Drosophila melanogaster: one gene and its partner. The protein of the gene in region 1 purifies or fractionates together with the protein of each later gene. This does not show direct contact. Each region holds a gene or a part of one and is shown on either strand. Other genes may lie near its edges. The genes, in order: cactin and Deaf1.

The links.
Region 2: the proteins of cactin (region 1) and Deaf1 purify together in Drosophila melanogaster (affinity purification with western blotting, with the first as the bait; one study listed by BioGRID). This does not show direct contact.

What each region holds. Positions count from the first base shown.
Region 1 is NC_004354.4:20,421,865-20,426,902, reverse strand, and holds cactin (cactin), read right to left. Parts: upstream 2,835-5,038; 5' UTR 2,750-2,834; coding exon 587-2,749; 3' UTR 501-586; downstream 1-500. Other genes in the region: CG15456 (uncharacterized protein), read left to right, coding at 1-257; Pp4-19C (protein phosphatase 19C), read left to right, coding at 4,051-4,844, 4,909-5,038. UniProt on the Drosophila melanogaster protein: Plays a role in pre-mRNA splicing by facilitating excision of a subset of introns. Plays a role during early embryonic development. Involved in the dorsal-ventral embryonic patterning.
Region 2 is NT_037436.4:19,816,207-19,821,427, forward strand, and holds the start of Deaf1 (deformed epidermal autoregulatory factor-1), read left to right. Parts: upstream 1-1,967; 5' UTR 1,968-2,328; coding exon 2,329-2,460; intron 2,461-2,895; exon of another isoform or gene 2,896-2,984; coding exon of another isoform or gene 2,985-3,005; coding exon 3,006-3,804; intron 3,805-5,221. Other genes in the region: fibp, read right to left, coding at 1-75, 140-325, 387-455, 514-614, 665-797, 854-961, 1,025-1,343, 1,411-1,489 and 1 more. UniProt on the Drosophila melanogaster protein: Transcription factor that binds the homeotic Deformed (Dfd) response element. High affinity binding sites contain at least 1 TTCG motif surrounded by additional TCG sequences.

The DNA of each region.
Region 1 (5,038 bases):
TCTGCAACTTTAGCGGGCAGTGCCACCTGCTGCGCGAGTTCCTGCTGGCCTCGTCGCCCGACTTGGACATATCCTGTCGCACGGGACGGCGGGGATCCTTCGAGGTGTCCATCGACGGTCAGCTAGTGCACTCGAAGCTTTCCTGCCTGGCATTTCCCCAGCACGCGAGTGTCCTGGCCCAAGTGCAGAAGGCGGAGCGTGGAGAGCCCGTGGAGAAAGTCCTGGAGCAGCCCATCAAGGACTGCGTCGTGATGTGATCTCCTACTTTCACGCCTAGACTGTTTAAACACGATAGCTTCACGCTTACACCAACATTTGTGGAACCCATTTGAAATCCTGTGATATATGGTATATACATATATAATAATAAATATAACATTATAATGCTCTCCTTATTTGCAAGATGGATGAATTGAAAAATGGGTAAAGGTTAAACAACAGTTTTCAGTTTAAGTGGAGTCAACTAAACAATCGCAATAAATGGAACGAGTTTGCTAGTTGTTCTGGGCTTACACTTTATTGGAAAATAACATAGGACTGCACAAAAGGATGGTTTGGGTAATCTAGGCCAGACGGTGACAATCCTTCACCGCCTGTAGCGATAGCGCTTGAAGTGGAACCACAGCTGGAAGATGTTGTTGTGGAACTGGCAGCGGAAGCCCCGCTTGTAGCTAAACTCCCACTCCCGGTTGACGATCTTGAAGGCGATGTCCTCGTACGGTGGTCCTGTGTGGAAACGCAGCACCGCAAAGTCCCCGTTGTCCGCGCAGGGAGTGAGGAAGTACTGCGGCGTCTGCGATTTGTCCATAAGGTCCGGATAGAATATGTTGAACTTGTATCCCTGCACGATCTTGGGCGGGGGATTGTCCATGTCGTAGTGCGTCTGGTTGTACTTGTTCCACTCGAAGCCGGTGTGCACGCGATTGAAGTAGCGCGGCTTTCGTGGTCGGTACTTATCGGTGGCCAGCTGCGGCACTGCATCCAGGGTGGTCTCCACACTGAACTCGGCCTCGTCACCCTGCATTCCCTGCTTCGCCTCGTTGCGCATTCGCAGTTCCTGCGGGGTCAGTTGATTGTTATCCACTCGTTCTGGATGAAGGATTAGCAGACGCTGTCTCTGTGTTCGCCGCTCGTCGTCCTCCTCCTCGTAGAGAAGTCCTTCTGCCTCCGGTTCGTCGACGTCTTCGTTTTGCGCTCGTCTGCCGGTGAAGTCCTCTTCGCGTATATAGCGCGGGCTGTAGTTCCCTGCCTGGTAAAGACGCACTGTTTTACGCAGCTCATTCAGGGGATCCTCCTCGTCTTCGGGTGAGCCCTCCTCAACCTCCGGGTCCTCTGCGTCCTGGGTTTCCATCTCCTCTTCCTTGACTTGTGGGGCCACCTTCTCTTGCAACGTCTCATTATCGTTTTCTCGCTTGAGCAGCGACAGCTTCTCGCGCAATAAGGCTTGATGGCGATCTCGCAGTCGAGCTCTGGCCATGTGTGCCTTGAGTTGCGAGAGCAGGCTTTCCCAGTAGCTAATGTCGACGCCATCCGCTCGCCCACTGATCTTGGCCTCGATGCGGTGCCGCATCTCCTCCAGCTGCTGAGCATTCTTCCCCCTAAAAATATCGGCCACATCCTTTACCACCGCCTGGTGGATGCCATCCCGGCGTTGATTGAGCGAACTATTCTCCGCCTCCAGTTTCTGTTGGCGCTGCAGTTCATCCTGCACAATGGTGATCATATCGTTCCAGAAATCGATGTGCTTGCCCTGCTCCAGCTCTTCGTATACCTTAATGTCGACCAGCAGGTCCTCCAGTTCTTCCACGGGCAGGCCGTTTAGCAGCACATAGGGCTCGTGCATCTGCATCTCGAGGCACTCTTCGAGCGGCTCATTCCCAGCGGCCACATATTGGGCGAGAAGATCGATGGGCTTGGCACGTCCATCTCGGATCCGGATTTCACTGCGCAAGCGTGCCTGCTCTAAGTGAAACTGATCTTCCTGTCGCTGCCACTCGCGGAACTGCACCGCCTCCTTGGCGCGCTGCTGCATCATAAGATCATCCTCGCGCACCTGCCGCTCCAGCTCCCTCTCCTGACGCCGTTTCTTGACCTTCTCCAGCTCCCTGCGATTTTCCAACTGCTTTTGCAGAGACAGTACCTCTACGGTTTTGGTGGAGAGATTTGATAGTCCCTCTACCTCCAGCTTTTTGCCCCAGTGGAAGGTGGAGGTGAGATTGGAGTCCCCGAACGGGTTGTCTTCGTTGGAGTACGTCTGGTACTCGTTGTCCCAGCCCATTCGTTCGCGACGCCGCTGCTCCTTGGCCTGCTTTTCGCGCAGGCGACGGGCGCGCTTCTCCTCGGGCGTTTCATGGGCCTTCAGCTCCTCCTTTTTACGCTGACGATCCTTCTGCTCGACGAGGCGACGGGCTTCCAGCGTCTGGAGAAGCTTCATCGGGCTTTTTACCAGCGGCGAACGAGGGGCACCGGGCACCGAGCTGGACGTCGAACTCGACGGGGATGAGCTGGAGGAAGAGGACCGGCGTCTCCGGCTTTTGTGCTCCCGCTTCTTGTCCCTGCTTTTGTCCTTTTCCCTTTCCCTGCGCTGGTCACGTTCCTTGTCTCTGTGATCTCTGTGGTCACGATCCTTTTCCCGCTCGCGTTCACGATCCCGATCCCTGTTCCTGCTGCTCCTCGGATCCGGACTGCGATGATCCCGCCTCTCCCGACTGCGGCTGCGATGCCGGTGCTTGGATTTCTCCTTGGGCATCTTTTTTAATGAGTTTTTCGGGATAAAACTTGTGAAATAAAATATAAACAATGCTAGCGTTGCCAGATGGAGAAAACCAACCCAGATAGCCACTAATAATTGCAAAAGTGCTATCGATATAAGCATTATAACATTAACACATCTCCCTCTTGCCGATAAGTCGATTTATTTTTCCAAGGGTTAGTTTTTACAAACTTTAAATTTTAAAATTTCGGCTGCAGCGTATTATAAATACACAAAAATAAATAATTTATCGATGGAATCCTTGGTGCAGTGTAAAAGGCTTTTTAGGGTCTTCGTGGTAATGCCCACTATCGAAACTGAAGACTCGATGTGTCATTGCAAGTGCCATTACTCAATATATCGATACAAACGCAAGTAGCCAATCCAGCTCTTCGCAGAAACCCGGTTGGCAAAAACGTTTATGTGCATTTTTTGTATTCAATCGCCAACACGAGAGCCGAGCTACCAGCAAAAGGATTGTCCAGATAGCCCGCCACTGCGCTGAGTAAGTAGTGATTCTGGAAAAGTGTCGGGGAAGACAGGAAAAACACGGCAGACGGTGAAAATCGCGCGCGGCAAAAAGGCCAGCGACAAGCCAGACGCACACACACACGCGAGCATCCGCACAAAGCCGACGCACACAGACGCATGCAGGCGAACTCAAAAACCGAAACACAAACAAAAGGATGGTTATTAGTCGACTATTAGTTACCTTACTTCCAGTTCAGCAGCAACTGAAAATCTGAACTAATCTCTAATCCAGAAATTCTGGATTTAAAACAAATCCAACCCTATCCACTGTCAAATACACGTTTCGTATTTGAAAGAAATGTGTATGCATTCACTTAAAACACAGCCATCTAAAACAGCTAAAAGAAGTTATATCGAGAATATAGCCTCTTTTCTCGTTGGTTGGCTTTTCATTGCGAAATAGCCTCATGGACTATCTCAACAAGTGGAATAGCTGGGAACGCGAATGTGTGTGTTTATATTATTTGCCCAATCCGTAAATATAGTTGAATCGTCTTGATTCTTAGATGTGGGGGATGCAGCTATACAGATGCACTTTATGGCCTCTAAAACGCTAGACTTGCTGTGCACGACTAGAGTAGTACCCTATCCTATCACTCAAGCGACCAAAAATTTATAGTATTTCTCTTATGCAACCTTGTGGCTACCTGAAAACCACCCGCGCCAGTTTGGTGAACGACTAACAACGCTGTCCCCGCCCTGTCAACGCCTGCAGTCCGATTCACCGCTTCCCCGTCGCCTCGGCTGCCGCCATCCTCCGGGTGAAGATGTCCGACTACAGCGACCTGGACCGACAGATCGAGCAACTGAAGCGCTGCGAGATCATCAAGGAGAACGAGGTGAAGGCCCTGTGCGCCAAAGCCCGCGAGATCCTGGTGGAGGAGGGCAACGTGCAGCGTGTGGACTCGCCAGTGACCGTGTGCGGCGACATCCACGGTCAGTTCTACGACCTGAAGGAGCTGTTCAAGGTTGGCGGCGATGTGCCCGAGAAGAACTACCTGTTTATGGGCGATTTCGTGGACCGCGGCTACTATAGTGTGGAGACGTTTCTGCTGCTGTTGGCGCTGAAGGTGCGCTATCCGGACCGAATCACGCTGATCCGGGGCAACCATGAGTCGCGCCAAATCACACAGGTCTACGGCTTTTACGATGAGTGCCTGCGCAAGTACGGATCGACGGCCGTGTGGCGGTACTGCACGGAGATCTTTGACTACCTCAGCCTTTCGGCGATCATCGACGGCAAAATATTCTGCGTGCACGGCGGGCTGTCGCCGTCCATCCAGTACCTCGACCAGATTCGCAGCATCGACCGGAAGCAGGAGGTGCCGCACGACGGGCCCATGTGCGACCTGCTTTGGAGCGATCCGGAGGACCAGACTGGCTGGGGCGTGTCGCCGCGCGGCGCTGGCTATCTCTTTGGCTCGGACGTGGTCTCCCAGTTCAACCGCACGAACGATATCGACATGATTTGCCGTGCACACCAGTTGGTAATGGAGGGCTTCAAGTGGCACTTCAACGAAACCGTCCTGACCGTCTGGTCGGCACCCAATTACTGCTATCGGTGAGTCAGCCTCCTGTGCAATTTCGAACTTGTGTTGTTAACTCTGGAATCTCTCCACATGCAGCTGCGGCAATGTAGCTGCCATCCTGGAGCTGAATGAGTACCTGCACCGCGACTTCGTCATCTTTGAGGCAGCTCCGCAAGAGAGTCGCGGCATTCCCTCGAAGAAGCCTCAGGCGGACTACTTTCTCTAA
Region 2 (5,221 bases), on another chromosome or scaffold:
ATGTGATACATTTTATCCAAGCATATCGTTATGACCTGCATATAGCGATCCCAAAGACATCTGGTTTCTTGGTCCCTGCAAAACATTTAGAGTTGATTATCAAAAAAGTTACTTGATTAATCTAGACAAAAGTACCCACCTTGATATTTCCAGATCCAAAACGCTTTGCGTTATGGAAGCCAAAAATTTATTCACTTGCTCACGGTTCCAGCCATTCTGACGCCAAGGATCAATAAGCTTCTCACAGAGATCGACGAAAAGATCGCGCAGCTCCCGATTGCGATGCAAATTGCAGGCGATGGTGATCAGGGCGCGCCAGTAAGAACTGCAAATCAAAACAGATCAATAGTAAGAAAAGGTGATAATGTCGAGAAATAAGTCCTTACCGAAAGTTGCCATCCAGTTCGTGAAAGGCGCGCTCGAGAAGAACGGGTTTGAGGCGCATGCAGACGAGGCTAAATGCAAGGACTAAACTATATAATAGCTCGTGTGCGGTAGAAAAATAAATCTCACTGCTTAATCTCCTTTTCCTTGTCGAGTAGACAGCGCAACTCCCGCAGGTCCAAGAGAAACTCTTTGTCCATTTCGGTATCATAGTACTCCGGTCCAGTGTGCTGCATTTAGTAAATTAGTTTCGTAAGGAATTAGCAGAGCTAAGTCATACCTGGTAAGTATACGTCCAGTAGATCATGATGGCATGGGAGCAGGTCAACAAATCACTGAAGCTCAGGTATTGCAACTTTTTTTTGGTGGTTTCGAAACGCAGGCAGGCCAGGAAAACAATGCAGGCGTACTTTCTGTAAGAGTGAAAGGTTTAGCTTTTTGAAGTTCAATACATTGATTATATTCATACTTGGCTAGATCGGTGGATATGATGAAGTGTTGCTTGATGTTGTTGGTTAACGTGCCCGGCATTTCCTCGACTGCCTTAAAAATGCGTTTTACGTTGTCAAATTGTCGGCTGAAGAAGAAGTTGAAATATATTAGACTCTACTCTGCCTAAGTAGCGGCCAAATTTACCCACCGAACTGATTTTAGCTTGACGCACGTCTTCTCGGCCACCTCGTCGAGGTCCTTGCGGTAGCGGGACGACAGCTTCTTGCCAAGAATTTCGCGAGCCACCACATCATCGATGGAATAGTACTTCTCGGTGATAAGGTCACGCATTTGTGGCTCCAGCTGGAAGCAGGATTGCTCCATCAGTTTGGTGGGTGCGTTTAGGTATAGTTCAATCAGGGAATAGGTGCGGTAATGATCCAGTACATCCGATGCAATCAGGTCGCTGGGAGCGCCCATGGAGTGACCAAAACCCTTCTGTTTCAGATAGGACACCGCCTCGCTGGCTATAATTGTAAATCGATGGAGCCGTTTGACATGAAACAAGATTGCAATTGGGAGAAGAAAACTTACAGGAGAAGCCTTCGATCCATAGCTGGTAAATTTCTGGATCGATGATTGTATAATTACTTATAAACACATCCACATCGGCCTGTAAGCATTCAGTTTTACTATTTATTATTATTTTGGATCATCAGATAGTTACCATTATATTGCTAGAGTGACCGTTTTCTGAACTAGCTGTCCAATTGGATATATCGAAATGTATGTTAGAGATGAAACACTGTGTAGTTCCAACACAAGCAGCATAGTTTATTCTTCTCATGAATTTAAAACTTTTCCTTGAAAGTAATAAATCGTTCTTGTTTTCATAACATCAATATATCCTATTAATAAACAAGCGAAAATGTTTAGAGTAATAATGGTAAAACCAAATTCGGTGTGATTTTGAGTTTTAAGATCAAGTCATAAGGAAATCTTTAAAATTGTAATTCTCAGAAATCTTAATTTAATATGCAAGATATATAGCTGTAAACTTTCCGATATTTAAAAACCAGAGATGGGGCACAGATAGCGAGCACGAATCACGACTATCGATAGTGCCGATAGCGGGCGATAGCTGCAACGCGCATGACAACTCTAGTTATCATGAGGAAGAAGAGGAGGATATCAACTTTTTTAGTAAATTAGTAAAGTTTAAGCTTAAAAAATGTAAATTGCAATGAACCACCAGCTGTAAATAGGGCAATGCAACTTGAACGCGACCTGCGCGCAATTCGCATGTAAGTCGTGGTGAGCGCTGAAAAAAACGCGGATCGCGGCGGCAGCAACAACAACAACAACAACAGACCGTCCGTCGTCTCGGTAGACGTCGAATAATATACATATATCGCAATAATCCAATTGCAAGTGGTAATCCGATGAACAATTCAAGTGCATTACTATCGTTGGACCGCAGAATAAGTGAAAGTGAACTGGCATAACAATACTATGGAACAGGTTGACTCCTCCACCGAGCTGCACCTGAATAGGAAAGATCTGGCCGCGCTGGCCGAGGATGTTGTGAAAGAAGAGGTGATATTAGAAAGCTCCAGCCATCACCATCATCATCATCACCACCAGGTAAGAAAAAGGAGCAACAAACGGCTGCGTAAGGAGCCCATTTGGTTTTGGATTTTCCATTCGCTTCTCCTTTGGCGGGGTGGTTTTGGTTCCGGACTGTGTGTTTGGTTCAGGTTCTATCTATTGAATCCGAAACCGAATCTGGCTCGAAAACCGCTCCGCTTCGCTCTGCGCAGTTGTGGAAAGTGGGTGGTGGGTGGTTGGGCTAGGTGGCCTGGGGGTGGCGCAACTTGCGCCCTACGGAACGCTCCGTGCGACCCACTGGGCCACAGGCATTCCCCGCTCGCCTTCTCGCCTCCATCCACTCCCAATTTGCCTCCTCCTCCTCGTTTTCCCCCTCCACCCACCGCATTTGTGGCGCACAAATGTTGTGTATACCGATTTTCATTTTTCCCATGCTGTGTTGTTTACTTACATTCGAATTTTCATTCCCGATTCCTGTGCAAATCGCATTGAATTAAATCGCAAACGCCATCAATTGGCCGCTGGACACTCACCCACATACATGTGACGAACGTGGGAATATGTGCGCTATGGTAATGCAGTTGGACACCAAGGTTCGCATGGTCACATCCTCCTCCAACGACAACAGTGGTAGCGGCGGCGCCAGTGGCGGTACAAGCGGAGCGGGCGGAGGAAACGGCGGTGGCGGTGTGGTTTCGGTGCCCGTATCCCTGCCCATCGGTTCGATGATAACCGGCACTACCTTCAATGTGATCACGCCCGACCAGCTGCCCCCTCACTTCAAGCCGATGCTGTGCGTCGACAACAATGGCTACCTGTCCGGCAGCACGGTCAGCATGGGCAACGACCTCAAGACGATCGTCATCCAGCAACAGCAGACGCAACCAGGCGGCGGCGGTGGCGGCGCCAATAATGCGGGCACCAATACGACCGCCACAAATACGATTGGACTGAATCACGATGGCTCCGGGAGCAACAATAGCCACGACAGCCTGGCCACCTTGGAGCACGCCGCGGGCGGAGCGAGTGGCGTCGGCGGTGGCGGCGGCGGAACGGGTGGTGGCTCCTCGGGATGGTCGGAGAACCCGTCAACCCAGCACAATGAGGTCTTCCAGATCCGCTGCAAAACCACCTGCGCCGAGTTATACCGCAGCAAGCTGGGCTCCGGCGGCCGTGGACGCTGTGTGAAGTACAAGGACAAGTGGCATACGCCCAGTGAGTTTGAGCATGTGTGTGGCCGGGGCTCCAGCAAGGATTGGAAGCGTTCGATCAAGTACGGCGGCAAATCGCTGCAGTCCCTCATCGATGAGGGTACGCTCACGCCGCACGCGACCAACTGCAGCTGCACCGTCTGCTGCGACGACGAAGCAGGTGAGTCAGGTGAGACGAACAACAATTACTACACACTCCCCCCTTCTGCATGGCGCACCGAGTTGACCTGGTCATCGGTCCGTCATGGTGTCCCAGGTGCAGGACTCGCGCACAAACCGAATTCATAACACCACAGCTTTAAAAACCCACCTGACTTCTGTTTATCAACAATTTTTTGTTTGCAAACTATAGGGTTTAAACAATTCCAAGTAATTGGAAATTTTACTCAGCAAGGGCTTCTTGGGCAAAAATGTTGCAAGAAATAATATTAAAACTTTCTTATTCTCAAGTGTGTATGTCATATTGTAACCCTATAGAACATCTCATTAAGGAATGAGATGTAATGATGAACTCCAATTAAGAACACAAGTCCGTTTTAAGTTGAAGGCAGCCGTCGGGCTGACATATATTTATTCAATTTCTTCTTTTGATTTTAGAGTAGGCAGAAATGGTTCTGTCAGCTCAACGTCTACAGAGTCTCTCCGATTTTACAGTTTTTTATATATTTGGACTTAGGCTAATCCGCGTAGCTGCGCTGCCGGGTACGCCAGCAGCGGAGCGGCGTTCTTATGTATATCTTATATATCTAGGCTTATCGGGAGAGCGAGATATGTATGTACGTATGTAATATGTATTTGGTCGGCGTGTGAATGCTGACCATGCACTTATACTTTTTGCCTTCGAGTGGGTGATCATGTTACATCCGCCCTGGCCTAACTGCGTGCATAAACATAAACATAAACATAGCAACAAAGTGCTGCCATAAGTTAATATGCTATTTTATTTAATTGTTCTTAATATTGCATAGGCACATACTACATCTCCCTCCTTTTGAAAAATAACGTAACCTAGTGAAGTTATTTTGATTATTAAATGCAAATTATTTTATTTTTATTTTTATTTTGTTTGTGTTTTTGTTTGAACAACAATAGTTGATTTTATAATGCAAAGATAAAAATATACGTAGTGTATGGAAAATTTGTATAAATGATTAAGGAAAATATAAGTTTAAATTCAATCATGAATGAAATTTCTTTAATCTATCTTTATGAACTATTTGTTTTTTGTTTTTATTAGTAAGTAGCGTAATATTGTTATTATCTCCTATGCTTTCTATCTTATAGGGCCCCGTATATTTAAAGTCTAATTTATGACCTACCTCATTTCTTAGTAAAACTTTATCTCCTACTTCTAATTCTATGTCTTTTATTTTTAAGTCATAATTTTCTTTATTTTTTTCTTTGTGTGCTTCAAGAAGTTTTCTTGCTCGAGCATATGCTACCTCTAACCTATATTTACTCTCCTTAGCGTAATCATCTATGTTATATATTGGTTCTATGCTATGTAGTTTATTAAAATGTTTTGGTAAATTACTTGTTCTACCGAAAACTAATTCATATGGACAATAATTATGTACCATAGATTG